7 separate regions of the Mus musculus genome follow, and all the other regions are reported to be linked to region 1. Evidence: microRNA targets listed by miRTarBase, many of them from high-throughput screens and not tested one by one. Region 1 holds a microRNA gene; each other region holds the end of a gene's coding sequence.

Evidence for each region. The annotated mature microRNA mmu-miR-324-3p reads CCACUGCCCCAGGUGCUGCU and lies in region 1 at 2,365-2,384, shown strand. An mRNA with a match to its seed (bases 2 to 7 or 8) in the 3' UTR can be bound and repressed. Matches are read on the target gene's strand: a 7mer-m8 pairs with bases 2 to 8, a 7mer-A1 pairs with bases 2 to 7 and ends in A, and an 8mer does both.
Region 2: miRTarBase lists Ppm1f as a target of mmu-miR-324-3p. Seed matches in the 3' UTR shown: 7mer-A1 at 1,989-1,995 and 7mer-A1 at 1,370-1,376.
Region 3: the mRNA of Plpp5 is a reported target of mmu-miR-324-3p. Seed matches in the 3' UTR shown: 7mer-m8 at 976-982.
Region 4: miRTarBase lists Cfl2 as a target of mmu-miR-324-3p. Seed matches in the 3' UTR shown: 7mer-A1 at 3,364-3,370.
Region 5: miRTarBase lists Slc35d1 as a target of mmu-miR-324-3p. Seed matches in the 3' UTR shown: 7mer-m8 at 575-581 and 7mer-A1 at 1,151-1,157.
Region 6: the mRNA of Zfyve26 is a reported target of mmu-miR-324-3p. Seed matches in the 3' UTR shown: 7mer-m8 at 2,792-2,798.
Region 7: the mRNA of Katnbl1 is a reported target of mmu-miR-324-3p. Seed matches in the 3' UTR shown: 7mer-A1 at 1,712-1,718.

The regions. Positions count from the first base shown.
Region 1 is chr11:70,009,731-70,013,796 of GRCm38, forward strand. It overlaps Mir324 (microRNA 324), which reads left to right and starts at 2,313; the gene lies at 2,313-2,401. Dvl2 (dishevelled segment polarity protein 2) reads left to right here. Exons shown (of 15, transcript NM_007888.4): 15 at 1-379. Acadvl (acyl-Coenzyme A dehydrogenase, very long chain) reads right to left here. Exons shown (of 20, transcript NM_017366.3): 7 at 3,704-3,848; 8 at 3,442-3,571; 9 at 3,228-3,353; 10 at 2,718-2,916; 11 at 2,456-2,560; 12 at 1,954-2,040; 13 at 1,806-1,868; 14 at 1,615-1,716; 15 at 1,438-1,535; 16 at 1,276-1,348; 17 at 1,119-1,191; 18 at 968-1,040; 19 at 795-870; 20 at 453-706. The coding sequence ends at 566.
Region 2 is chr16:16,923,316-16,927,381 of GRCm38, reverse strand. Ppm1f (protein phosphatase 1F (PP2C domain containing)) reads right to left here. Exons shown (of 8, transcript NM_176833.4): 8 at 7-3,742. The coding sequence ends at 3,360. Among named protein-coding and RNA genes, the nearest start is that of Ppm1f, 29 kb to the right of the region's middle.
Region 3 is chr8:25,723,618-25,727,683 of GRCm38, forward strand. It overlaps Plpp5 (phospholipid phosphatase 5), which reads left to right. Exons shown (of 7, transcript NM_028000.1): 7 at 463-1,270. The coding sequence ends at 623. It overlaps Ddhd2 (DDHD domain containing 2), which reads right to left. Exons shown (of 18, transcript NM_028102.1): 17 at 4,013-4,066; 18 at 1,707-3,746. The coding sequence ends at 4,039. Among named protein-coding and RNA genes, the nearest start is that of Plpp5, 5.6 kb to the left of the region's middle.
Region 4 is chr12:54,857,506-54,861,571 of GRCm38, forward strand. It overlaps Cfl2 (cofilin 2, muscle), which reads right to left. Exons shown (of 4, transcript NM_007688.2): 2 at 4,021-4,066; 3 at 3,832-3,908; 4 at 1,312-3,732. The coding sequence ends at 3,620. Among named protein-coding and RNA genes, the nearest start is that of Cfl2, 3.3 kb to the right of the region's middle.
Region 5 is chr4:103,169,934-103,173,999 of GRCm38, reverse strand. Slc35d1 (solute carrier family 35 (UDP-glucuronic acid/UDP-N-acetylgalactosamine dual transporter), member D1) reads left to right here. Exons shown (of 12, transcript NM_001356276.1): 12 at 220-3,351. The coding sequence ends at 328. Among named protein-coding and RNA genes, the nearest start is that of Gm46864, 43 kb to the left of the region's middle.
Region 6 is chr12:79,230,548-79,234,613 of GRCm38, forward strand. It overlaps Zfyve26 (zinc finger, FYVE domain containing 26), which reads right to left. Exons shown (of 42, transcript NM_001008550.1): 42 at 1,800-3,622. The coding sequence ends at 3,419. Among named protein-coding and RNA genes, the nearest start is that of Rdh12, 24 kb to the left of the region's middle.
Region 7 is chr2:112,412,046-112,416,111 of GRCm38, forward strand. It overlaps Katnbl1 (katanin p80 subunit B like 1), which reads left to right. Exons shown (of 10, transcript NM_024254.3): 10 at 338-2,192. The coding sequence ends at 370. Among named protein-coding and RNA genes, the nearest start is that of Katnbl1, 35 kb to the left of the region's middle.

The DNA of each region.
Region 1 (4,066 bases):
GCCTGGTCCTTCCCCCTCTTCCTCGGGGGTAGATGGGGACCTTTGGTTATTTTTAGCTTTATTTTTTATAAGCTTTTTGGGGGGTTAAAATAGACTTTCTTATATTTGGGGGAGTATTTTTTTAAATAGACAGTTCCTCTTTTATATGGAGAATCCCTTCTAACCCCAGAATATGACCGCCACCTCCAGGTGCCTAGTCAGCTCTCATGTTGAGGGTGGGTGGTGGTCAGTGGTACCCTGGGAAGAAGAAGGTGTGGGCTGGGTACCCCAGACAGCAGTCCAAGGAGGCTGGTGGTGTGTTGGGGACTGTGTAGCTGCCTTTGTTACTCTATTTATTTTAGTCACTTGTACAAAACACCAAATAAAGCAAATAGAGGCCAACTCCCCAAGCCTCTGGCTCCTTTCTTTGCGAGGCAGGCAGTGGAGAGGAGGGAGCAGTGACATTCACGGCAGACAGTGACTTGGTAGAAAATTTATTGTTAAGGCAATAAGTACTCCATCACCCCCATAAAGGGTTTTGGCATCAGAGAAGGCACATGACCTTGCCAGGGCCTGATTGGGAGTCTCAGATTCCCAGGGGGTTACCGGTGACCAGGCCACCATTCTCCACCATGGCCTTGGAGATGCTTCTGAAGTTCCGGAAGAGCTCCTGATGCTGAGGGCTGGACTGCAGACTGGCCATGTTTTCTCGGATCCGAGTTGCAGCCTGGGGAGAGGGAAGGGGAGGGACGGTCAGGCCGTCCTGTACTGGGGAGCTCCAAGGCCCACCTGTACTGGGGAGCTCCAAGGCTCACCTCAATGCACCAGCTATCACAGAGCATTTTCTCATGCTGTGCCGTCGGGTAGCCCTCACTCAGGGACCTTGAGGCTCTGTGAGGAAACAGAGGTTAAAATGATCCTGAGTGCTGGTGTTGGCCCAGCTCCTCTGTGGCTCTAGCCTGCCAAGCGTCCCTCGCTGCCGCCTTACCTGGACAGAACCACCACCATGGCATAGAGGTCAATGGCGCCGTCCGCCAGTCGCTGCAGCAGGAACTGCTCGTCTGTCAGGTAGATGAGGGTGGGGCTGTTAGTCGGAGGGAGGGAATCAGGGAGGGAAGGGGGTTGCAGAGCTCACTCACTGACAATCCCTTTCTTGTGTTTCACCAGCTTGGCCTCCACCACGGTGGCAAATTGATCCAGAGCCTGCACTGCCTGAAGAGACAAGAGTCACAGACAGAGCTCAGGAGAGGAAGGCAGCGCACAGCCACCGCAGGCTCTGCTTTAAGGCTCACTCACCAGTTCACCACTGCGACTTAACTCTGGGTGGACAATCCCTGACAGACTCAAACCACTGCCGATTCCTGTCCTCCTGAGAGGAGATGGAAGAGTGACTGGTCAGTTGCGGCCTCCCATCTTGTTTGACCCTGACTCTGACCCTGGCCCCGGCCCATGAGGTACCGTCTCAGCTGTTTGCCTGCTTCTCCCATCAGGAGGCCAACGTTTCCAAAAGGATTCTTCAGGGCATTGCCCAGCCCAGTGAGTTCCTTTCCTTTGTCCTGTGGAGAGAAGGGGGACGGCGACAGTGAGGACTCAGTGTCCTCCCCAGCTGCTCTCTCTCATCCTCCTTCCTCTTACCATACAGCCTTGCAGAGCCACAAACAGTCGAAGAATGTCATTTGCCCCTTCAAAGATCCGGAAGATTCGAATATCTCGGAGCACACGCTCCACCCCTGGTTCCTGGCACGCAGGAAGACACAGAAACCTCTGTTGAGATGTGCCTGTCCACTCTGAACAGATGCCCCCCCCTGCCGAGGAATACTCTGTACCTTCATGAAGCCCATGCCCCCCATTATTTGGATGCACTCATCTGCCACTTTCCAGGCCGCCTCCTGAGGACAGAGAACCAGATGAGTTGGATTTTTGAGCTGAGGTCCTAATCTGGACTCCGCCCTCCCATCACACCTGGGTCCTCACCGAGCAAAAGATTTTGCTGATGGCGGCTTCTATCTGGAAGTCTTTGAATCCCTGGTCCATGTTGGCACTCAGCATGTAAGCCATGGACTAAGGGAGCATGGTCGGGACATGGGGAAGACAACAGGGAAGGGCTGCATCAGACAGAATGGCTAATGCTCAGACCTTCAAGACCAGTGCTGATCTACTCCTCCAACCCTTGAATTCACTTTAGCCTCCTGGTCAGGTCAAATATGTCCAATATGTGACCCTCTGGTATATCAGGGGCTTCGAGGCTTCCGACTTTGTAAAGGGGTGGGTTAAAAGTCGTGTTTGGTGCATCTGGGCAGCATTTAGCAGAGCAGCACCACCCTCCAGAAGAGAACTGACTATGCCTCCTCGCATCCCCTAGGGCATTGGTGTAAAGCTGGAGACCCACTGCCCCAGGTGCTGCTGGGGGTTGTAGTCTGACCCAACTGTGAAGAAAGCCATAGGGCTCCAGGGAAGGGGCCCAGGAGGCCCTTACCTCAGTCACATACTGCAGAATAGCCATCCGAGCCAGCTTTTCCTGGATCACCCCAAAGTTGTGAATTTTGTCCCCAAACTGGGTACGATTAGTAGCATGATCAACCTGCAAGAGGGCGCATGTTACCCCACTGTGGTTCTTCAGTTTCCACCTGGACGGGCTGGAGGCCTAACTGTGCCGATGGTCGAGTGTGCATGTGTGTGTGTCGGCGCTCTGAGGCAGTCAGGGACATGTGCTAGCTAGGGACTGGGCTGGGACTCACCGCCTTGGCAATGAGGGATTTCATGGTGCCTGCGAGGGTTGCAGCCATCCCGAATCTTCCGTTGTTGAGGATGTTGACAGCAACCTTGAAGCCATCTCCCACCTCTCCTAGCACATTCTCTGATGGCACCTTCACTCCATCAAAGTACACCTCTGACGTGTTAGATGCTTTGATGCCCATCTTCTTTTCAGGGAGCCCACTGAAAAGGCAGGGCAGGAAAGTTGAGGTATGAACAGGTTGCTGTGGGGGAAAACGGCCTTTTCGGGTCTCATGATCAGGGGAGAACTCCCCAGACTATAAAAAGGATACAGGGCACTGCCTATGTGCCCCAGGGGCTACGGATATCTAGCTATGGCCTGTTAGCCTGTGTTCCCCCAGTGGAAACAAAACTGCTCACCTCCTGTGGGTGCCTCTTGTACAGAGATAGCCCCAGCGTGGCCTGTATTGACTATTTGCTCTTGAGAGCCCAGTGCTGTCCCCATCCTTGATTCTGTTTTGCCCCATACTCACTGGGTAACCCCTCCGAAGCTCCTTTCCACTACAAAAGCTGTGATCTTCTCTTTCACGGCCCCCGTGGCTGCATCTTTAATTGGCGTCTTGGCAAAGACAGTGAAAATGTCAGCCAGGCCCCCATTACTGTGGAAGAGTGAGGTGGTTAGTATAGGGTTTAGAGCAGCAGGGTCAGGCCACTGGGCTGAAGGGTAGAAGAGAAACGGAAGATTGCCTGATCCAGATCTTGCTCCCATTGAGAGTGTAATATTTTCCACAGGGGCTGGGTATGGCTGAGCTTCGGATGGAGGCTACATCGGATCCACTCGAGGGCTCTGTTAGGCAGAAAGCAGCCAAAGCCTGCCCTGTGGGGGAGAGAACGGGCTCACTGGGGATCCTGACCACCAGAGTTGCACCCCCTCATCCCCAGGCAGTTCCTTGTAACACCGTGAGCAGTGTCACACTCCTTACCCCTGGGTCTCTTAAGGTTGCCTTACCAGATGCCACTCTGGGAAGGTATTTTTCTCTCTGGGCCTTTGTGCCATAGAGCAAGATGCCTTTGAAACCGATGCTCTGATGAGCTCCCAGGGTAACGCTAACACCAAGGTCATGCATGCCCACAATCTCTGCCAAGCGAGCATACTGGAGGGAAAGGAGGCATCTGGGATTGTAGCTGGCTGCACTGAACTTGTCCTCAACAAGAATGGGCAGCAGGGCAGACCTGGCCTGGGGCTTGGAGCATCTCTACTCTGAGCATGGGGAGTGGAGTGGGTTTGGACAGGGCACAGGGAGGCTGGCCATGGGGCTCCCAGGTAGGCTGCTTCTCTAGCATGAAACCCTGGAGTCTTTCCTAAGGAGAC
Region 2 (4,066 bases), not on the chromosome of region 1:
TCCAAGTGGCACTCAGGAATCTTGAATATATGGTTTATTGACACCAGTACAGGGCCCCATGGGAAGACGTCCTATGAGCTCATCACCTTGGGAGTTGTCCCTAAGACTAAAGAAACACGGTGTCTTAGAACAAGACTCCCAGGAAGACCCCTGAAATAACCCTTGGCAAGGCCCACATGGCATGTAAATGGCAAAGCTTGGTGTGTTTGGTGAAGCTGAAGAGTCCAGTGAAAGCACAAGACTCCAGAGGATGGTCCCTGGAGGCTACAGAAGCTGAATCAAACCAGAAGCCCAGCTTGCTTCACACAAATTGGCCTGGCTTCCGTAAGTATGGCCAGAGCCATCCTCCTGGCCTTGAGAATACAGTTGAGGTAGCCAGGACACCCATGCCAAAACTTAGCATCAGGAGAGGGGGGCACTGCATGCAGAAGAACCCAAAAGGGCAGGGGCAGACAGATCATGGTGAATGCAGGGCTTTTAAGACCTCTAGGTGTTGGTGCCTCCCTCACCATGAGTTCTGGAGACGCCCAAAGCTATGCTGCAGATCCCTTGCTTCAACACTCCTGAAAGCCTGCTTGTGCCCTCCCACCTCTTAACGCCTCCAGGCCTTGGTTGGGAGGCAGCTGTACCTGCAAAGGCAGGCTGACGGCTTCAGCTTTTGTATCTGTGTAAGACACTGGCGCCTGTAACTCAGCTCTGTTCCAGCCCACTTAATTTTAAGAATAGACACTAATAATACTTAACCCCTCTCTGCTGCTGGTGGAGGATGGGCTCCCGTGCTCTGGCAGCTCCTGGTAATGCTATGCATGCCCTCCATGCCTTTCCCTGAGGCCTGAGAGGTGCAGTGACTGGTTCCGCTCACACAATGTGATGGTGGCAAAGAGGGGGACTTGAGCTCACAGCCACCCTTCTCCCTGTTCCTTCCCTGAGCCTCTACTAAGCCACCCATTATCCTGGCTAGGGGATTCTTTTGGGAAGAGACTCTGAGGAGGAGGTGGCCAACAAGTCTTGTAGGCTTGGTACTGGCAACTCCAGTCCAGACAAAAAGAGTTCTCTGTACCTAGGAACTCGCTCAAGGCCAGCCCTCAACAGTAGGAGAATGTGGTCTTCCTTGGCCACTAGATCAGGATGGAGCAGTGCCTGATGTTGGTCCCAGACCATTGCCAGACAGGGGGAAGGGTGGGGGAGGCACTCAGACAAGCCTGGGAAAGGGGCTTCCCTTTACACTGAGGCCTTGATATTTGGCACATCTTTACATGCGAGTATGAATCCAGACCACCAAGGAGGCCCAAATTCCACTCTTACCAGCAATGATCAGGTTAGCAAAAATGGGAGAAAACCAAAATCAATTTATCTCCCTCTATGAAGGTCACTGCTACAGGCAGGCTGGACCAACAACCACACCCTGTGTTGAGATGGCACTGAGGATGCTGGATTCTGACACCCCCCCCCCCCCCGGAAGGCAGCAGGCCTTCAAGTTAAGCAATACCTAGCTATTAGGTGGGCAGCCATCTGAGTGATCACGTTCCTATCAGGAGACTTGATCAAGGAATCAACTACATGGCCCCAGCTCTTCCATCCCTGCTGTGGGAATGGGTAAATGGCAAGCATACAGGTGGGTGCCCAGCTGCATTTGGCTGGCTCGCTCTCCTACTGCTGGAAGTGAACTTGCCTCAGAGGAATAAGTATGAGCTCCCTTGCTTCTTTTCAAAGAGGGCTTAGGTGCAATGAACAAAGCTCTGCAAGTCTTGCTAGGGCTTTCACTCTACAGGTGAACTATGTCTCCTTCATGGGGACCTACCTCACAGCCACCCTTCTTCCTACTGATCCTTCCCTGAGCCTCTGCTAAGCCACCATTATTCTCTGGACCTGCCAGTGTCTGCAGAGAGCAGCCTTGACTCGCTTGGCCCTTGTTGAGGGCCTCCTAGTCCTTCTATTCTTGGTATCCCCCCCAACCCTCACTTGGTTTCCTTGCCTGACTGTATCCATCACTGCTCTAGGGATGTGGAGGTCTTTCATGCTGCTCAGGTCAGGACAGAGTCTAGCAGGTTAGGACACAAGTCACAGGAGAAAGATGGTGGACTGCTGGGCTTGCCCAAGTTCCTCACCTAAGCACTGTCTTCAACAACTCAATCAACATAACTGCAAACACACTTAAGAGAGTTTCAAGAGAGATTGAGTGTGTCAATCTTCTAGCCAAGAGCAGTAAGGTTCTCTCAGCTGGGAACCAGCCAGACTCCAAGGTGGACAAGGAGGCCAGTGTCACCCCAGGTGCCCATAGTCACAGCCTTTACCCATCACTTCAAGGAAGTTCTGAGGTGCCCAGACGCACAAAAGGACTTTCCCAGAAAGAGTGCTGGCTGAAAGTGTGCCTTCCCACAACAAATGCAGCCTCTTTGAGAACCTCAACACGTCTGCCTATCAGGATCCATGACGGACCCAGCAATTCTCATCTACACCAAAGCTGTTTAAGGCACTTAAGTGGCTTATTAACATAACCTGGAAAAGTTTGTTTCCATCCCGATTTAGGAAAAATAAAATCATTAATACTGCAAATGTCTCCACGAACACACAAAAAAGTAAAATACTTAAGTTTTCAGGAATAAAATAAATGCTAAGCTTTGCTTAAGTTACATGACCTTGAGGGTCACCTTGGCACTGATACAACATGACAAAGCCTGAATACTGATTCTGGATTAGACCTTTCCCTGCAATAAATCTAAGCACACAAAGACACACACACACACACACACCTCACTTCACCTCCCCAGGAAGCTCAAGGGGAAAGCGAGGTCTAGAAAGCCCTAGTGGCCTTAGTACTCAGTTAGAGTGCAGTGGCAGTGGGTCACTCTCCTGCTGTGCCTCCCAGCAAGACCAATGTCTCCTCTTTGGGAAGCCAGCAGTCAAGCAGGACTGCGAGCTTGTGTGTTAGTACAGACCAAACCCTCCCAGCCTTGGGTACAATGAGAAGCCACAAGCCTGGGCTGGACACCTGGCTGCAGATCTCATTCCAGGATCTGTGTGAGGGTCCTCCAAGACCTGACCTGTGTTTTTGGTTAGGCTACCAGCAGGTGCCTGTGGTTTCTGTTCCCAGACCTGTCCGGCCCTGATCACCTCAGCCATCTGCTCTTCGGTGAGGCCATTTTCCTATGTTTCCTTCTGAGATCCACTAGCTGCCTACTGCAGTTCTGCAGCCATGAGGACAGGCTGTGGTAGGCAACATGAAGGGCTGGGGTGCTAAGGGAATGCTGTGAGAGTGTGCACCCCTGCCCACTATACCTTTTGGATCTAAGGTCTTTGAAGGGGAGGATCACGAGGGCAGAGGGAGAGTCCGGATGGGGCCTGGAGGCCTGGACCACTTAGCTTCTCTGTGAGGTATTACTGATCTCAAGTTCTGAGAGGCCAGTGGACAAGTCCTGGCTTCCTACATCTGCCTGGGCATCCCCTGTCCCCTGGACTCCACCCTCTAGCAGCTCCAGGGGCTCCCTAAGGAAGACCACCATGACTGTAATGTTGTCATGGGAGCCCCGGTCACGGGCCACAGCCACCAGCTCCTCAGCAATACGCATCCCATTGCCCTTGTGCCTGAGCAAGTGGCCATGGACGAGACCCGTGACTTCATGGTGGGGGACAACATCGAAGAAACCATCACAAGCAAGCAACAGGTAGTCCTCTGAGCCCGTTAGCTCTCTGGATGCTGCATCGGCCTCCCCAGACACATAGGGCTTCTGGAAGACATCCCCTGGGAATGAACAGACAGAAGAGCCTTGTTTCTTACTTCCCGTGTGCTCAGAACCAACCCATATCACCATCCCCAAGGGCATGCAGGTACAGGAGCCCAGCTGGCTCTCAAGGGGTCACCTGCTTAGTGCTTCCCACCCTCTTTGTAGGAGAGTCACACCCTCCCCCCCCCCCCAGCTCCACAGAGCAGATCTCACTCCAGGGAAGGCTGCATCTCCAGTGTGTCTACAGATAGACTGCTAGAGCAGTACAAAGACAGGCTATGAGGAAGGAGCCAACAAAGACCTCAAGAGGGTGAGAGGGCAGGTGTAGATGGAGTAGATGG
Region 3 (4,066 bases), not on the chromosome of region 1:
GAAATAGTGAAAACAAATCGATGACTAGAGTCAAAAACACTTGTTTAAAAATTCTAACTCACAGGGCAGTGGTGGCGCATGCCTTTAATCCCAGCACTTGGGAGGCTGAGGCAGGCAGATTTGTGAGCTCGAGGCCAGCCTGGTCTACAGAGTGAGTTCCAGGACAGCCAGGGCTATACAGAGAAACCCTGTCTCGAAAAAACAAAATAAATAAATAAATAAATCTAACTCAGTCCATGCTGATTTAACTGAGGGTGTTGACTTGATGTTTAGAGAACAATCAGACTAATAATTCTGTAACTGTATGGTAAAATCAAGTTGCTCTAAAGAAACTAATAGCATAGGTTCGGAGCTCTTTTTTTATTTTAGCCCCTACAAGCAGAATAACTGGGAGGGCCAAGTACTCTGTAACTGTGGAGCATCTAACATGGTTTTAAAGGGGTTGCTATTTTCTCTCTTCAGATGTGCTAGTTGGCTCCATGATTGGAATGACATTTGCCTATGTCTGCTACAGGCAGTACTACCCCCCTCTGACTGACGTAGAGTGCCATAAACCATTTCAGGACAAGCACAAACTTCCGTCCTCACAGAAGCCCAGTGAGTTGCACCATTTGGAAATTTAGCTGAATCTACCTCAGTGGAGAACAAGCAGATCAACCCTCCTAACTGGACAGGACGCACAAGCCAAGGATTTCTGGCTTGACCTCTTCAGGGTCTAAGTGAGGACACAGCCACACTGTACTTGCCTCCGCAAGGCTGTGCACTTTACCCCACTTCCAAGGCTAGCCCCTGAGGTCTCAGTGCTTGGCCTGGCACGGCTCTGTCAGGACTTCTCTCACTAGGTTAATCCATAGGATTGCTATTCTAAGACCTAGTGTCTACAGTGATTAAATGTCACTCCAGAGGAAACCTTTCCACAAAGGAAGCTTTCATGACCCCATTTACCGAACATAATCCCTGTCCTTTATAAATAAGGGCAGTGCCAGCTAAACTCTGATTCGGCTTGCTTTTTGTGGTAACATTCCATTAAGCCTTAAATAATAAAACATTCAATTTTGGCCAATTTTTTACTTTTTACTACATTAGGAAAGAAAAATTAGGGATATTATCTAGAAAATAAATGCAACACTTTCTGCCTTTGTTCATAAAGAAATAAATGGCGCAACTAGAGGCTATCACCAGAACTTGGTATGGAGGACCAACTGATAGCTACCATTTTATTGTTATTATACTTTAAATAAAAGTCTCTCTTATGTATTTCTTCCTATAACATACTGTGTGTGTGTGAGTGAACTCAAGCGACCCACCTGCCTCTGCCTCCAGAGTGCTAGGACTAAAAGCACGCTCCAGCATTGCCCAGCTCTGACATAGTCTTAAACGTGTTCTCAGTGTACTTCGTTTTCTCAGAAAGTCTGGCAGTGAAACACAAGAGTGTGCCTGAGGGTTTGTACTTCATAAGAACCGTTCAGGTCTAGATTAAGACTGGCTTCCCATCTGGTGTATGTAACTAACTGCTGGTATCAGTTGTATTAGCTAATATTGCAGATGCTGAAGGACAGGCTCTGTTTCAATTCTGAGCTATAGTGTCCATGAGAATGTAAACATCCATCAAGGGAAAAGAGCTTACCATCAGTTAGTTGCCTAAAACTTTTTGTTTTGAATTTAGTAACATGTAAGAGAAAATGCCTACTATATTGATTTTCTTGATGATAGATAAGGCCACATGAATGTAGGCAAATGGTCAATAGTTTTATTTCGGCATTTACTAACGTCTTAAATATAATCACATATAAAACAAACATTTCAAAAGTGCAAAATATCAGCAAGGTTATCAGAGCTACTCATCGTCCCTTGCAGACAGTCTCCCACCAACTGTGCTGCCAGAATCACAGACAGAATCACAGACAGAATGCTGTCACCCTGGAGTTTAGAAACAGCCTTGGTCAGGAGATTGTGCATGATAACAGACGACGCAGTGCAGGTCCACACCCAGGTCCCTTGCCACCACACTGCCTTGTATAACACTCAGCGTGGTCACGTGTAAGTACCGGACTGCGGGAAGAAGCCTTTCTCAGTGCAGGGGTTTATCTAGCTCTCCAGGGCCAAGCTGCCCATCTTTGGTCACAAGAACGCACTCTTGGTTGTACTTTGGTTTACTCTTAAGTAGTAATGACTCTGCTAACAAGAGTAAACAAACCTCAAGACAGCAATTGACAAAACTTACTTTTTAGTATTTAATGAATATACTACTTAATTCTCAGGTATTCTTACTCAAGACATATTGTAGAAAAAATAAAGTATTCCATATACCTGGAACTCCTTAGTAGCTTGCTCATCCAGTATTACCCATGAGCAGGAAGGCAGGCTGGGCCTGACGTACCATGCTTGCCTCTCTAACGTCCAGGGCACAGTGCTTCCCTCCCTTTGCCTGTCTGTAGAGGGCACTGCCATCTGAGGGTTTCAGGGCATGTTATGTGCAGTGCCTCTGGATACCATGATAGGTTTACAAAACAAGGAAAAAAACCAAAACACAGCTCACCTCTCCTGCCACTCTATAGAGACCTGTGGAAATCAGAGGAGCTAAAGGGCAATCGTGAGGAGGACAAAGATGACGGCACATGCTAAGGAAGGGAACACTTAGTGTACAGTCACCCTTCCTCACGATCAATGTGCCTTGAGTTATCCAGATTCAGCTCCTCAGACCCTGTAGACAGGGTTTTCCTTCAGAAGGTAGCCTAGCTTGCATGCTCAAATCCATGACTGCCAACTGTAATAAACAATTTGATGGTACCTCAGAAAGCAGTGACGCAGCCGGGCGTGGTGGCGCACGCCTTTGATCCCAGCACTCGGGAGGCAGAGGCAGAGGCAGGCGGATTTCTGAGGCCAGCCTGGTCTACAGAGTGAGTTCCAGGACAACCAGGGCTACACAGAGAAACCCTGTGTCAAAAAAAAAAAAAAAAAAAAATGTGACATTTATGTCACATACTTCCTTTACTCAAGTGGAAGGAGCAGGTGACTTAAATCGGTGCTACTAAAAGACTGCATTTACAACATGAACAGCAGGGAAGGGCCATGTAATTTCAGGTTGACCTTCAAAATAAGTATTACCTAGTAATGTCCTCAACTTCACCGCTGGCTTGGAATACGGTGTAAAAGAGCAGGCACACAGTTAATACAACCTTCAGGGTTGCAGAAGCTGAAGCAGTTGTAAGGACCAGGACCAGGACCAGCACCAGTGGTTCTACAATCCACTCACGTAACAGTGTTCAGAGCAAACTGTGCTATTAGTAAGCTTCTGTCTGATCTTCATATAATCCAGGAAAGAAAAGCTGGCTCAAAAGCCAGCAGCTCTCCCAAATGCAGTGATGCTCAGCCCTCCAGCACAGAGAACACACAGAGGGACGGGACCCCTAAGTACCTCTACATCTTATACTCCCACCCGTAGTGTTGGTAAGGATAAGGAGTAACCCCCCCCAAGCCCCCTAAACAGATATTCATTCCCATGTAAGAAACAAGGAAGTGCTGCTGTTAAAGCATTGGGATATGTAAACGCCCTAGCCACAAAACCTGCTGAGCGTCCATACAGAACAGTGAGTGCCCCTCCGCTTTCCAGTAGTCTCCAAAGAGGGTTCTCTTGGGAAGATCCCATGGAGTAAGGCAGGCAGCATGCAGGACACAAGGTAGCTGAGAAGGAAGCTGCAGCAGCAAGCGTGTGGGTTTTCAGGACAGTCTCCCTCAGTGTCCATCTATGGGAGAGGGGGGGAAAAGGTCACCCAGGGGAACCAGCCACCAGAGAATGCCACTGTCTAATACAGACTTTCCAGGTTCCTGTCTGGAGGCTGGGTGTGGTAACTTGGGATCCCCAGCACAAGGTAAGATGTACACCAATCCTTTTCTGAGTGGGCTACTGGACACTTCCTGTGAATTTTAACCAGTGTCCTCGAAGTGAGTTTTTCTTGAGGTTCCAATGTTCCTTATAACGTGTAAACACTTCACTGCATTGAAAACTTACATTAAGCAGCCACAGATGGGTCATGTTTACTGTAAAGGCTGATCAAGGAAGACA
Region 4 (4,066 bases), not on the chromosome of region 1:
TCTATCTCAAAACTAATAAGCCAGGTTTGGTGTGGGATGCCTGTAATTCTAGCACTTATGAGGTGGGGGCCAGAGGACCAGGCGTTCAAGGACACCTTTCTGCATATACTGAGTTTGAGGTTAGCCTGAGCTATGTGCCATCTTTGTCTTAAGAATAACAATCATGAAGTTATAGATTTCAACACTATGGGTAATATGCCTTTATTTTACTTCAAAGTTACTTGGAAGTTTGAGGCCAGCTCTCACTACTCACACATCAACACACCCAACATGGTATAAAGTTATGGACACTAACTATATTCTGTATTTGTGTTTATGTACATGACTGTGGAGGCCAGAGGTCAAAATCCAGTTCAACTGCTTCTCCTTTCCCTTTGTTTTTGAGACAGGGTTTCTGACTGAAACTGGAACATCCAGATCTCCCTAGGCTGGCCTGTCTCAACCTACCTAGCACTAGGATTCCGGTTCATACAGGTATGCCTGGCTTCTACACGGTGCCTAGCAAGCAAGCAAGCACTTAGTTGAGTCACCCCTAGCACTCTGTATGATATACTTCTAAAAGAAGATGTTCTCTATCAGCTAATTAGTACTTAAACTATGAGATCAAGTGGAACTGTTATAAAAATAGAACCAGTGATCTTCAATAAACCAGCCTACTCCCCGCCTTAGTTTCCTAAGTGCTGGGATTACAGGTGTGTGTCACCACACCAGGCTTTTTATGACTTTAAAAAAAAATCTATGTAACTATTAAAGGCAAGTGGTGAGATGGCTTATCTGTTCAGAGCATTTGGTGCTCTTGCAGGGGACCTGGATTCAGTTCCCAGCACTATACTGTGACTCAAAGCCACCTATTACTCATGTGCCCTCTTTTGGTTTCCCTGGATACCAGGCACATACATGGCACACACATATATATGCAGACACATATACACATGAAACAAATAACACCTTTTTTTGTTTGTTTTTCGAGACAGGGTTTCTCTGTGTAGCCCTGGCTGTCCTGGAACTCACTCTGTAGACCAGGCTGGCCTCGAACTCAGAAATCTGCCTGCCTCTGCCTCCCAAGTGCTGGGATTAAAGGTGTGAACACCTCTGTTAAGTGGGAACTGTGCTCAGGTAGCCAGGCTTCCATCCAGTCTTTATCTATTAAGCCATCTCTCGGGCCTGAAACAGGATTTCTAAAAGAAAGCATATTTCCTAAATCCTGAAAAGGATAACGTGCAGATAACGCTGCCTCTCTAATCCACAACCTAAGTTTCTCGGCTTTCACTGTTTTAAATGCAAGTAAACACATCTCAACAGCTTTAAATATTTTCATGTATTTTATTTTTAAAACACTTATAATTTTGCAAGCTAGCAGTAAAATATTGCCCTCAATATTTTACTAATTAGCACCGTATAGCTTTTAAAGCTAGCTGGAACATTGTTTCACTGTAAATGACTGCAAAATAAGATGTGAAATTAGTCTCAACATAAGGTCATAAATTAAATCATTATTATTTTTTGGCTCTAGGCACATATGTGTACTTTAAAGATGAATTTAACTACATTAATGTATTTGGCCAATCTAAAACTCAAAGTATAATAGTTTCAAGCAGCATTTAATCTCTCAAATTATTCTAAAAATGCATATAAAGAAATTGAGAAATTAGATATAAAAACAAAAGGTCACCCTTTACCTTTTAGAAATCACTTAATATTTGGAAGAATAACAAAATAAATTGGTGAAAAAGTCCTTTGGTGCAAAGATTGGTTAAACATAGGTTTAGCACACATTACCATTCTCATGCTTCTCATGCTTCTAAGCAGCCTTACCAAAAAGCCACAGAAAGGTCTGGAACAACTCACAGCAACAGCTGGAAGGCTGAAATCAAATTCCTTAGTGCTAAAAAGATCCCAAGTCATTTGTGTAGTTTTAAATGGAAGCCTAGACATTTAACCACTATGTTAATGTTCTCATCTGGGAAAAAAAAAAAAACAACAAAAAAACAACTTTCCAAAAGGTAGAAAAAAACTAATTATACCCAAATTACTTCCACATATTTTAAAAAAGGATATTTTCATTTCCTATCTTCTGATAAGAGCATTCTTCAGAGCTCTGGGGTCAGAGTCCAGAGCCACACACGACTGCTCACTAGCACGCCTGTCTTACATGCCAGTAGAATCAAGTCCAGTTTTGCCATCTGTGGATGACTATGACAAGATACAAAAGCATGTGTTTGCCATAAATAGCTCCGGCTAATAGCAGAGAGCGCACACGGAGCAGATCAAATTCTCTATAAGGAGAAAGCTCTGGGCCACAGCCAAGTTCCATTACTAAGCTTTAAGACTGCTATACGATTTTTTTTTCCCAATTCATTTTGGAAAAGCTATGAAGGAACTGTGGCTGAGACAAACATTCCTAAACATCACAATCATCATTAACCTTCGAATGACATTTTACAAATTATTTTCATTATGACCAAGTAATAAAAACATCCTACTTATACTACTCAATTCTCAGTAATGTAACTCTGGATTAATATCCTAGCTTATCTAGAGAATAAATAAGATACTGGATAGGCCAAAGTGCAAAAAGAATTTTTTTCTGATCTCCATTTTATAACATAAATAAGCATTTATAAAATTACCACTCTTTTAATGATTGTATATAAGTGATTTTAAGATGTTTTTAAACCAAAGATTAAAGGAAAAAAAATTCCAAATACCAGTGCAGAGCTTAATCACCGTTACCCTAAAATTTCACATAACAATTTGCAAAATTTCCAAGGAAAACAAGGCAACATTCTGTAATCTGCCACAATTTTTATTGCAACGTGGCCACTTTTGTGAGGGTAGGGAGTTTGATCTCAAAACAATGTTCCATTTAAGGCTCTTTTATACAGAAATTGCCATCATGACTGATATTCAAAATATCTGTAGTGTTTCAAGACTCATATGGTAAACATAAATTATACAGTAGTGTACACTCATCGGGAAACCAAAGACATTAGCACAGCTGTTTCTTTGAAAAAAATATGAAGGCAAGAAGAATGAACACTGAGATACTAGGATAAATTGATGACAGGTAATAAAACTTAATTGGCATTCTTTATAAGGGATTAAACGCATTAAAAAAAAAGTGCTTTTAACGAATAGTGTTAAATCTGTGCTGCCAGGTCACAAAAATAGGCTTGCCAAGGCAGGTGAGGTGTATGAAGGCTCCAGTGCCTCAGAGAACGGTAATCAAGTGCAACTATAAATAATACTGAAACAAGTCTCCCATATGACCGACCAGTGGATAATATTTTCAAGGCATTCAGTTAGCTTACCCTTTGTAGTACTCTAAGCTATTCACATTGACAACCACATCCATTGTAACGTTCACTGCAAGGAAGGCATGGAACCAGTTTGTTTTGGCTAAAATAAGACAGGAAGGCATTCCTTGGGAATACAGAAAAGTAACCATATGAAACAGTCTCATGGCAATACTGACAGGCTTCTTATATTCACTCATTCACGAACGGGACCAGTGAAAAGGGAATAAACAAAAAAAAACAAAACCTAATACAATTCCAGTGGACTGAGCTGGAGAGATACGTGTAAGCCCCTTAAGATCAAATGGCACTTGGCTATTATTTTATAGTGGCTTTCCTTCAAGGGAAACTACAACACTGCCCCCCAGTTTCTCTCCCAGCGTCGAGCGGTCCTTAATATCGTCCAAGCCATTTACTTGCCACTCATGTTTAATACCTAAAACGGAAAAGAAAAACACACCTCATTAACCTTATAACTAAGAAAGAGTAAAAAAAAAAATTTTTTTTTTTTGTACAGAACAGTCGATGTTGGTACCTGTAAATTTCTTTTTAATGGCATCTTTAGAGCTAGCATAAATCATCTTGCTTTTTAACGGTGCACTTTCAGGAGCCCTACGGGGGAGAAAATGTTGAATTTCAAAAGAAAAACAAAGGCAAAAACTGACTCTGATAATAATAATCCTTGCACTTTTAGAAGTACTTTTTTTCTTTTGTTTTTACACACCAGAATATAAATACTAGGTCTTCTTTCTTAGACTCTTTTGTTTCGT
Region 5 (4,066 bases), not on the chromosome of region 1:
ATGTTTACTTAATTCATATAGAAGTCACCAACATTTAATATTTTGTGTAGTTTTTGTTAAGATGCCATTGCCAATTTTACTTATCAGCAATCTAATGGATGTCTAGTACTCCATTCTGAGGACATGCCTAACTTTTACCAGACTTTACCTGGTACAAGTGTAAGGACTCATTCCTTCCTTCACTTTGTCCCTCCCTCGTTATGGCTTTCTGTTTTGCAGTATTGCTGGAAGCCTGGTGTACTCTTACATCACTTTCACGGAAGAGCAGCTGAGCAAGCAGTCAGAGGCCAGTAACAAGCTGGACACGAAGGGAAAAGGAGCAGTGTGACCTCCGCAGCCCGGAAGACACTGGAGCCTCCTGATTGCGGGGAGTCAATGTTCCTTTGCAATTATACAACCCTGGGATTGACTGCTGCCTTTGGAAATTTATTGACTGTATGCTAACTGTGTTTGAATTAATTTATATCAGACTGGAAAATGTACTGGGTGGGTTTTAATTTATTTTTTTCCTCTGACAGTGAAGCATCAGTGTTTTGAAATCCTTTACTCTATAGCTTGCTATCTGGGTGGCCCTGGCAGTGTATACAATGTGTTCCAGCTAGAGCTGCCTTCCAGTGGGCTGTCTCTGGAAACTAGCTGGAAATGCAGCTGAGGATCTGAAATTTCTTTTTTCTTTTCTTTTCTTTTCTTTCTTTTCTTTTCTTTTCTTTCTTTTCTTTTCTTTTCTTTTCTTTCTTTCTTTCTTTCTTTCTTTCTTTCTTTCTTCTTCTTCCTCCTCCTCCTCCTTCTTCTTCTCCTCCTCCTCTTCCTCCTTCTCTTCCTCCTCCTTCTCTTCCTCCTCCTTCTCTTCCTCCTCTTTCTCCTCCTCCTTCTCCTTCTTTCTCCTTCTGCTTCTTTCTCTTCCTCTTCCTCCTCTTCTATTTTGTTCTTCCTTCCATTTCCTTCCCCCACCTTTTTAATTGCACTGTCTTCATAGTATCACATTTGCCAAAGGTGGCAGCTTTGGCACTAAAAGCCCTGAGAAGTGTTTTGCTTTCCTAGACTGTGGGGTGAGCAGAGTGTGCCTGGGAATGTCTGCTTCCTCTTTGTTCAGCTGGAGACAAGCAAGGGTGGAAGAAGCCAGCCATTCACTCACTCGTTCAGCTGGAGTGCAGTGAAAGTCCCTCGCAGGCACTGTGCTGAGTGCTGGAATACAGAGATCCATTGGTAATGGTCCTGCTCTAGACTGAATGGAAAATGGAAAACGTGGTTCTCTGTCCAACTGGAAAAATCCGAGACTGTGCACCAGTTACTTCAGCTCTTTGGACCTGCAGGTCTATGAGATTAGAAGCCCCTGCTCTGCCTACCCCACGCCATGAGTCCAGAGCCCACAAGAGACTGAACAGCTATATTTTGTACACCAGCATAGCAGTGGCTCAGCCTAACCCTTTTCTTAAAGGGACAATCAAGGCAGCTGCCACCCCGTCCCCATGCCTTCATCATGTGGATGTAGTTGCTGCTCTTTGTATCCCTGTTTGCAGGTCCTCATTTCCACACAAAGGCCTACATTTCTGAACTGATTGGTGTGAGGGAAGAGCTAGGTGGGCATCTTTCCATTATTGGAACTTGGTCTTTTCTTGGAAGGATCTAAGTCCCTCTCCCTGAAGTGATGTGAGGTCAGCTCTCACCTACAGATACGTCTACCTGATGAGCATCTCAGAATGGATATATCTCCTTTCCTCATTCTGAGAGAGCCTGTGTGAGTGGACATTGACTGAACTGCCTTAGGGAGGAGTGATTGCCAGAGCTGGGTGGCATGGCTCTGAAGCATCGCTGGCTTTGGAGGGGCTTGCTTGGGCCAGCATGATTGCTAGGGAAGGAGCTTGCTTCTGCTTCCTTGGTGCTTAGCTGACTGCAGGTCTGGAGCTTGTATTTTTTTGTGTCTCAGTGGGGAATAGGAGAGTTTTGATTTTTTCCCCCCCCTCTATTTGAAAATTTTCATCTTTAGGCTCTATCTTGCATATAAATTTTGTAAGAAGGACATTTGTTAAGTTTTCTGTGATCTTGTATCAGAAATATGTGGGAGGTTTTGGTCAGTAATGCCAAGACAGGCTCTCCATGGAGTGTTAGTGGGTCACAGGGCCACTGAGGGCTTTAGGTCTGGCCTTTGCTTTCCATATTGAGGGCTCTTAGTGACCAGCACATTGTTAACCACATGGACAGATAGAGGGGGCAGAGCCTGGAACTCTCAAGTGTAGTCCTCAGCCAGAGTCGGACCTTAGTTGAAAGGACACAAATGAAAGAAGAAAAAAAAGGAAAAGAAAAGAGTCAGCGATTTGTAAGTAAGACCTACCTGCACTGATTTTAGGCCCACCCCAAAAGAACAAGGCTTCCATTCAGAGGCCATGGTCCTCATATTTTCTTCTAGCTCAGATGAGCCACACAGCTCTTAGAACTGTCTTCCCCGAGTCCTTCTCTGGCAATGATGCTCTTTCTTCCCACGTCTGTGCCATGCTGCTTTCTCCCACAGGCTATAATGGAACTTTCCTTCCCTGGGGAAAAAATACTGAGAATGAGTGCAGTGGATACTGAATATGGAACCCAGTGCACACAGCGCTCAGCAGACACAGGTCTGCCATCCTTCCTTCAGTGCCAGCAGCATAGGGCACCATGTTTTCCAAGACTCATGAAACTGCTTCTTGCCTTCAGATGCTTAGGCAACAGACTCTGTCCCTTATCTTTTTGAAAATACAAAACAAAAATAGTCTCTGTATAATTATAGCCACTGTTATTCTGCTTTTTAAAAAGAGAATTATTTTCATATTATGGTGGCAAATATGAAAAAGGGAAATCTGTTTTCTGTCTCAGTGGGAGTCCGTTGCATTTCAGTATGGTAGCTCAGTGAAGACTCAGCTGTCACCCTGAGGTAGCTCCCAGGCCTTCATCCCTCACCTCAGAGCGAAACACTGGATCCAGCCCCTTTGTCACCATCACTTTTCTAGGCCTGCCTTCTGCTCCTGCTGTTCGCAGTTCACCTGTAGGATGCAGAGACTCTCTAGTGTCTTGTTTTTAACTTTTACGTTGAATATATTTTTAAAAAAGAAATCTACTGGTTAGATTTTATCTTCTCACAGAATGTTTTTAGAGATTATTTTGTTCACAGATGTTTCCTTTCTCATGCTGACGAGCGACCTTTGCCTACAGGTGTTCGCCTCTCACACGTCTTTTCAATATAGACTCTATTTACCAATTTACTTAGTGTTTTTAAGAGGTACTGAGCATTGAGGTATGTAAATCAGGTGACATAAACATGGAAAATGATGTGCCTAACTATTTTTTTAATGATGTCAAATAAATACTTTTTCTGGAAAATGTGTGTTAGAATTCCTTCCTCCTGTGTCGTGAGCATTGAGAGATAAGGATCTGTTCACTTAAGAAGGTGACATGCAGGTGCCTACAGTCCAGGGTTGGGGACACCACTCAATATTAGTGCTTTGCAAACCTGCCATAGAACCTGCGACTACGTAGGCTGTGTCTTTGACGTGCCCATGATGAGCCTCGAGGAGAGAAGTGCTACTCTCTTTTTAGGATGTTTGACCAGCTCAACAAGCACTCTCTGGCCCACTAGCTGTCCTGGGTAATAACCCCCAATAGTAGGCACTTAGCAGGAGAGCCACTCTGGTACTCAACTGAGACAGGAGCACATTAACGTATTCTTTAAGAAGTTACCAAGTACACAGCGCAGAGTATGTCCACCTTGCTGTGCACTGGCCTTCCATTACTAAACCGATGCTATAGGCCTTGGCCAGAAGCCTCCGTTTCCCTGTCCTCCTGTCCCCGATGGTTGCATCTTTGTTTCTATGGGTTTGACTACAAGTGGGATGGTGCGGTATGTCTTTTGGGGACTGGTGTAATTCATGTAGCATGTCCCCAGGGTTCCTCTCTGGACTACACATCAGGCCTTCTGTGAAAGCCTGCGCTGCTCTGGTGTGTACACAGCACAGCTCATTGATGGACACGTGGGTGGCTTTGGTTCATGTTGCTGTGAGCATGGTTCTGCGTGTCTTGTCAAGACTCTTATTTTCGG
Region 6 (4,066 bases), not on the chromosome of region 1:
TACGACCCCAAGAGAAAGACAGGCAAACAGTTTTTTTTTTTTTTTTTCCTAAGCTTGAGTTATGCTCTTCTCAAATACCATACAGGTGGTTCTTCAAAAAAAAAAAAATTCACAAATCAATTGATAGTAAAAATATAGTTGGCTAATTTTTTTTTTTTGTCATGCTAGGAATCACAAAGTTTAAAAAAAAATGGCAACTCACCTTAAAAAAGGTTTCAGTGTGCCATCTGACTCCCATCACCTGAGCAAAAAACTATGAAATTGAGACCCTATTTCAAGAACAAAATATTCCATAAAGCTTGTAGATAAAAACAAACGTGTTTTATTATATATATATGGGTATTTTGCCTGTATATATATGTCTATGTACCATCGGTATGCCTGAGGCCCTTGATGGAGAGAAGAGGGGACCATATTCCCTTGATGGTTTTGAGTCTCTATGTAGATGCTGGAATTGAACCTGGGTTCTCTGGAAAAGCAGCCAATGCTCTTAACCCATGAGCCATCTCTACAGTCCCAACGGGAGCTGAGCAGGAACACTCATTGCTCTCTTGTCTTCTTGAGACAGGGTCTCATTATGTAGCCATGGCTGGCCTGGAACTCATATTGTTCTGCCTCTGTCTCCTGAATGCTGGGATCAAGGGTGTGTGTCACCACGTCCAGCCTCCTTTTAAGGTTTTAAAATTTATTAATATCATGTATTTAGCATGTATTTGTGCATGCATATACAGACACGTTTATGACATGGTGTGTATTCTGGAGGTCAGAGGCCTGGAAGAGTCAGTCCTTTCTTTCTACCTTCATCTGGGTGCCAGGGATCAAACTCAGTTTGTCAGGCCTGTGTGTTGAGTGCTTTACCCGCTGAGACATCTCCTTGGTCCACTAACAGTTTTTAATACATAGGGAATTAGAGGAAATCTTAAGTGAGTGAATGGTCACTCCAGGAATTGTTTAAGAGGAAATTAGCCATTTGAACTTTTTTTTTGTTTTTTTGAGACAGGGTTTCTCTGTATAGCCCTGGCTGTCCTGGAACTCACTCTGTAGACCAGGCTGGCCTCGAACTCAGAAATCCTCCTGCCTCTGCCTCCCGAGTGCTGGGATTAAAGGCGTGCACTACCACTGCCTGGCCCACTTGAACTTTCTTTCCCACTCATCTTTTTTTCCCCACAGAACACACAAAAGACGGGAGTCTGGAAACAGGGAGTGTGGAGGCAAGAGGATCAGGAGTTAAAGATCACTTTTAGCTACACAGCAAGTTCAACGTCAGCCTGTGCTATATGAGATCTTGTCCCAAAACAAATAGAAGTCAGGGAATGGAGACTCGGTTCAGCAGTTAAGAGCATTTGTTCTTAGGCAGGACTTGAATTCAGTTCCCAGAAACCCTATTAGGAAGCTCGCAACTACTTGTAACTTCAGTCCCAGGGGATTGGATACCCTCTTCTGGCCTCCACAGGTGCCAGGCATGCATGTGATACACACAACACACACACAACACACAACACACACACACACACACACACACACACACACACACACACACACACACACACGAGTGCGCGCACGCAGGTACTCATGAAAAAATTTAAAACGTGTGTTTATATAAATAAAGCCATGGGGCTGGAGAGATGGCTTGGAGGCTAAGAGCACTGTCTGCTCTTCCAGCAACCACATGGGAGCTCATAACTGTCTGTATTCCAGTTCCAGGAGACCTGACACCCACAGAGACATACATGCAGGCAAAACACCAATGCACATAACAGTAAATAATAAAATTTAAAAAGCTGATGAAGCTAAGACGTAGGTGGGATAGGCAGTTTATTGTGGCTTGGTTGTAGGAGGACAAACAACCCCTCAACATGTACAACTGCTTTGATATTATTGTTGCTTTTCAGGAGACCACAGTATAATGTCTTAGGTCTGCAGTCTTTTCTCTGTTAACCTGGTCAATGGTCCACCTATTTTACAATTCAAGTTAGAAGATAGTCAGGGAAATCTGGTAATGACATCCTAAATCGAGGGCTGCAAGACTTCCAACCCAGTTGTGTAAAGTGCTTATGTTCAGTGCAAACATACACAGCCTTGAGTGTAAGCAGACCTCAGGCAATGGGGGTTCCTGTGAGCTGTGGTGTGTTCTATGCGTCAGGAAGGAAAGGCACTGTCAGACCTCAGCCTTAAGTGAGCTAGGTTTCTGCTTCAGCCTTTCTTCTCTATTAGGACCAAAGCCTGGAATCTGACAGATGTCCATTAACAGCTGTTAATTAAGAAAATCTTGGTTCAGAAGAAACGAAGAGGGTTTCTAAGCACCAGAGACACTGACTTCAGTTTCCAGTTCCTGTTGCCTTGGCAGCAAAGGGGAGACAATAGGCTGAGCTCTGGCTGGTGGGAGACTTGGGGCCACAGGCCTTTCTTTAGGGCTCTCATTTGCAAATCAGTCACTAAAATGCAGACCCTCTCTCTCAGCACCAGCTCACCTTAGGTATCCACCCTGTGTCCCTGAGGAGACCAGACAGGGAGCACGAGAGATGGAGAAATGGTTTCTTAACTAATTCAAGAGGTACAAACGGGAATGGAATGCAAACAGGTAGAGACTAGCATTCACTCAGTCCCAATGATCCTGGCTACCATTTCTCTCCCCAGCCTCTGAAAGAAAAAGCCATGTGTCCTTACACATCAATCCTGCAGCAGGGATACTGGCAAGAGCCAGCTTTGTGCTCAGAGAGGTCTGCCTTTTCCTTCCTTCTGAATGAATGTGAAGGGGCCTGGCCTCACCTTCCCAGATCTGACTTTATACCACTGCCAGAGCTTTCAGATGTCTGCACTTGAAAACCTTGTGCTTGCGAGAGGTGTGACGGGGAAGGCTGCCATCTTCCACAGCCATGCTTCTAACATTCTCTCTGAATTTTGGGCAGAAGCAACCTTTTTGGCATTGCTCTGTAATTCTGTTGACCCCTCCTGTTAGGAGGACCATGTATGTCTGCATAGAGGGGAAACTGTGCACGAACAGGCCGACCTAGGACAAGAACCAAACATACCGAAGGTCTTCAGACCAGCACAAAGCAGGAAGTAAAGCGCCTCTCTTCAATGGAGGAGTCTCATTTGTTCAGAAAATGCTTGGGCGTAAACACAAGTGCACAGGAGCATGCACACGGATGTGCACACATGCGCACGCACAGTCACTCTGAGGTAGAAAGAAGTGGCTATCTCCAGACAAACACAGAGTCTACAATTTTACATGGCACTTGTGTGAAAGGACCTATTCCTGCCCACTCAGGCAAGAACGGTCCAACTTGCTCACTCCGACCTGGGTCAGGCGCATAAAGTCCCACTCCACAGGAAGACGGAGAGGGAGGGCATTGTGTGGTATTGTGCCTGTCGCCATAGTTCCCAGGCTATGGTTTCCAGGTTCTGCAGCCCAGGGTCACTTCCTGGAGCCTGAGCCATGGGCACCTCGAGAGTGGCTTGTCAGAAGCCACTGAGCACAGATGTCCTGCACTACAGAATCCCCACTGCTTTTGGCAGCCTGCTGCACCTGCTGGACGAGGGCGGCGGCCTGCGAGTGTTCTTGCTTCACAGCAATCAGGTAGGCAGAACGTAGCTTGCAACATGTCAGATAGGCCCGAACCTAGGGATTGGGGATGAGACATTTGGAAAGAAGTGACTGCCAAGGGAAATCAGCGAGCACAGAGAGTATCAGAAAGCACAGGCAGACGAATGGTATTCTCGCTCACCTATTATTCTTTCACAACAACCTCAAGTGTTCTAGGCACCAGGCTAGTGCATGGTTCTGTGTTCGAAGGTAAAGAGCCATCACAGGTAAAGTAAGATTTAGAAAGTAAGGTAGGCAGAATCTGGCCTCTGTCTATTCTCCCAACTTCTTTTTAGAATCAGAACCAGTACTGCCAGTATCCACGGGCTGTGATTTTATAGTTATTTGGAGCTTAGGTGATATCCTTGACTAGAATCCAAGGTTTGAGAGCAGGAACAGTGTTTGCCTTTCCTGCCCCTTGTATTCTTGGTGTGGAGCTGGCAGTCAGTGTTCAGTTAATGAGCCTTACATGGGCGACTG
Region 7 (4,066 bases), not on the chromosome of region 1:
AATTATTTTTAAAAATAACTTGAAATTGTCAAACTGTGCCTTGGGCTTTGGTTTCTATAGCACTTACAGAATCTCTGCATTTTAACTGCAAAGCAGAGTTGTTGAAACACAGGAACCAAAACATTCACTTAGTGTTTGCTCAACGTTATTGAACATATAGCATGTGCCAGGACCTGTGATAAACAAATGCATATAAAATTTTTGAATAAGACTTCTTCCTTCTTTTTAAAGGTTTCAAAGGGAAGTAAGGCAAATTAAGAAACAAGCAGAAAAGAAGGCAGGTTGAGTGCGTTTGTATTTGCTTGATTAACTGATGGGATGTTTTTTCTCCTTTAAGGATGTAGATGCTTATTTATTACAGCTGCATTGAAAGATTTCATCTTATAAAGATTTGAGTATTCAGACAGCGCTGGATTCTATGATTTCCAAAAGGAGGTCTCTCCTGAGAACCGAGAGCTGTGGAAGAAATAAAACCAATTTTTTTCTTTTAAAAAGCCACATAATAAAACCACTAATGAAATCCTAACAATCTACTTCACATTGAAGTGGAAATATCAAGAAGGAGCGGCATCAACTTCAATGAGGTGAAAGTGCACTATGAAGACTGTTTGCCTTTGCTGCATTCAGAATTCAAATGACTGTTTGATAGCGTTGTTTAAGAACTACTGGGTCTTCACTCGGCCCTGCATAAGAATATGATTGATAGTATGCAAAAATAAGACAGGACTTATTACCAGGAACTATAAAGACCAATCATTAAATTTTTTATTGTGTTTTATGAAGAAACACTTAAGTGTGTGCAGCTAATTTCTTCTGTTGGAAAGACTTGGAAAGTTTAAAACATCATAGTAAGTAATATTAAAAATTTTTGTCCACACTGATACTGTGTACAAATGCCTTAATTATTGATAAGCCAATATGTTATAATACCAATATCTTTTTTAAAAAAATTAAAAGCAACCATGCTCTGGCATGATAAAATCATGGAATTAAATCAGGGGTTTACATTCATGTAGAATGTTGTTGAAATATATTCGACACCATTTTTTTAAACTTGAGAAATTTTTAGCATCTCTGATTCTTTTTGTCAGAAACTTCATGTTATGTTTGTATGTATGTGTTATTCTTATATAAAGAAAAAAGGTGAATATGTATTTGTATGAATGTTTAACTGGAAATGTCCATGGAGTTGGCTAATTTATATTCACTTTTTATTGTATATAGAGTTCTAATATTTTTCATTTCTGTAACATTTAAACTTCCTTTGAGTAAATTTACTAAATATTTCTATTTTTTGCTTTTTTAATTCTAATTTTATATGAAATCTGATTAATTCCTTGACACTAAATGTGTTCTGAAAAGTTCCACACAATGTTTCAGAATTGTTTACAGTTAATGCTGACATTGTACTTTAAGTTCCAACACAGTGCATCACTACCTCCTCTAATGGTTAGTAGGAAATTCCAGCAAACCATATGCAAGCGTTTTTGTGTTTTGTTTTGTTTTTTTTTTAATATGGCCATTTGAAGTATCAGTGTACTCAATTCTAGGAAGTCATAACAGTTTGAATCGTACCTGTCTTAGTTGGAATTGCAGTTAGCTACCACTCCTGCTGGCCCATTCATCATCTTTCTTTAGTAAGGCTTGCAAGCTTCCAGAAAAGATAAATTGACTTCCTCTTCATATTCCAATGTACATTTTAAAACTTAAAGCAGTGACTACTGAGACCCCCAGCCCCCCTGCCCTCCAGTGTTATTTTTTAACTGAATTCTGTTTTGTATAGCTATTATTCCAGATATCTATGTACACCACAGAATGAATATCCGTTGTAGTAATTGATTATTATATCCTCAGATTAGAGTCACATCCAAATGACTACAGTTTTGTGATTTCGAGGTGAGGTATGTAAGAAGTCATTCTTCAGAACGTGGGGGTGTCATGAACCTCCATTCCCCTGAAGCCTTCAGCTGGGAACTACAGCCTTTCTTTCTTCTTAGCCTGCAGTTTTCACTGTCTTATTGAACCATTTGGGCAGGTTGATGTGGTTTGGTTGGAGTGTGATGCTAGTGAGACTAAGGGTTTGAGTCTGATCCTTTTAAATTCATTAACTTCTCACGTGCACAAAGAAATTCTGTAGTTCCTGATTGCATATTTCTTTCAGTATCCACTTAATAAATTCAGTTTGTGATCTCAAAGAATGTGGTGTGCATAGTTTACTTCTCAAAGAGAAATAGAATGATTGATTTGTATAACAGTATAGATTTCCAGTTTGAAGAGAAAATATTCAAAATAAGACCTAACATACTTTATAATTTTTTTTTGTTTGTTTTTGTTTTAAGACAGGGTTTCTCTGTATAGCTCTGGCTGTCCTGGAACTCACTTTGTAGACCAGGCTAGCCTCAAACTCAGAAATCCGCCTGCCTCTGCCTCCCGAGTGCTGGGATTAAAGGCGTGCGCCACCACGCCCAGCTATACTTTATAATTTTTTAGTTGCACAATATCAAATACTATGGATCAGATTATTGACTAAACAGTATCTTTTTAAAAAAAAATCAAAGTTCAAGTAAATATCAATAAAAATTGAGTATAGTAAAAAGCAATACTATTGTTTTAACAGAATTCTTATTCCTAAATATGCTTGTTGACATTGAATAAGATGGCATGCTCCATTTTTTATGCTCTGGGCAATGAAAGAAGCAGCTTTACCTCGCAGCACACACACACAGTCTTCTTCCTGCTTAATGAAATGGTCATATCAGTTGGCTTTGTCTGTTGGAGGAAGAACCACAAGTGGGACTCATCTACAACGTACTACATGTCTGCTAGTACAGACTTATTTTCTGGATTCTTTCAGATGGAAATAGTGTCATGTGTTGACAGGTGTTTATAGATATATGCGTTCTCCTTTAATTTTTCTAGCCATAAGATTGTAAAACAAAGTCTGCAACATTTACTCTTCTCCCTTCTTATTTTGTGGCAGGAGTATACAATAAATAATGTATTCCTAAGCCTAGTATGGTGGTGATACAAGCCTATAATCCCATCACTTGGGCACCAGGCGGTGATTTCTATAGGTTCAAGGACAGCCTGATCTATGTAGCAAGTTCATACCAGCCAGGCTTAGAAAGTTAGACCCTGACTCAAAAAGAAAACAACAGAAAATTTTCATCCTTTCATTAGAACATTACATGCTTCTAATTTGTAATGTATACTGAATCACTAACATCACTATAGCAATAGAAATGAATATTGCATTGTAATTAGCATGCTGGATACATTTTTCCAGTACTACATTTAACATATTTTTAATCAGTATATTAAAATGCTGTATTTATAATTTCATCTGGGTGAAACCATTGAGCTAACAATATTTTTGAGACAGGGTTTCTCTGTGTAGCCCTGGCTGTCCTGGAGCTCACTCTGTAGACCAGGCTGGCCTCGAACTCAGAAATCCACCTGCTCTGCCTCTGCCTCTGCCTCTGCCTCTGCCTCTGCCTCTGCCTCTGCCTCTGCCAAGTGCTGGAATTAAAGGTGTGCACCACCACTGACTGACACAGTATCTTTTAAGAACCAAACTTTAGTAAAAATTTAAGTACAACTGCTTTTAGAATATTAAATCACCACATTGTCCTTTGAAGACTAATCATAAAATCAGAAGATAGAGCTGCTGTTTATCAGTATTTCCAGTAAAGGCAACAGTAAAGTAAACCTGCTGGTGGGTTTTTATTTTCAAAATCTGTGATAAAAATATTGCTTTGATATTGCAGAATTCTTATTCTTCAAACCATTTTCAGATGTGAGTTTCCAAAATCTAGATAAGGATTCAGCCCCTAAATAGACGACGTCCTGAAGTACATTCTTTTACTTTCCTTTTTTCTTTTCTCTCTCTCCCTCTCCCTCCCAGGCCCCCCTCCCCCTTTCATTCTTTCATTGAGACAAGACTTCTCTGTGTATCTTGGCTGTCCTGGAACTCACTCTATAAACAGGCTGACCTCAAACTCAGATCTGCCTACTGAGTACTGAGACTATAAAGGCTCCCGTCACCACCTGGCTCTGATTCTTATGT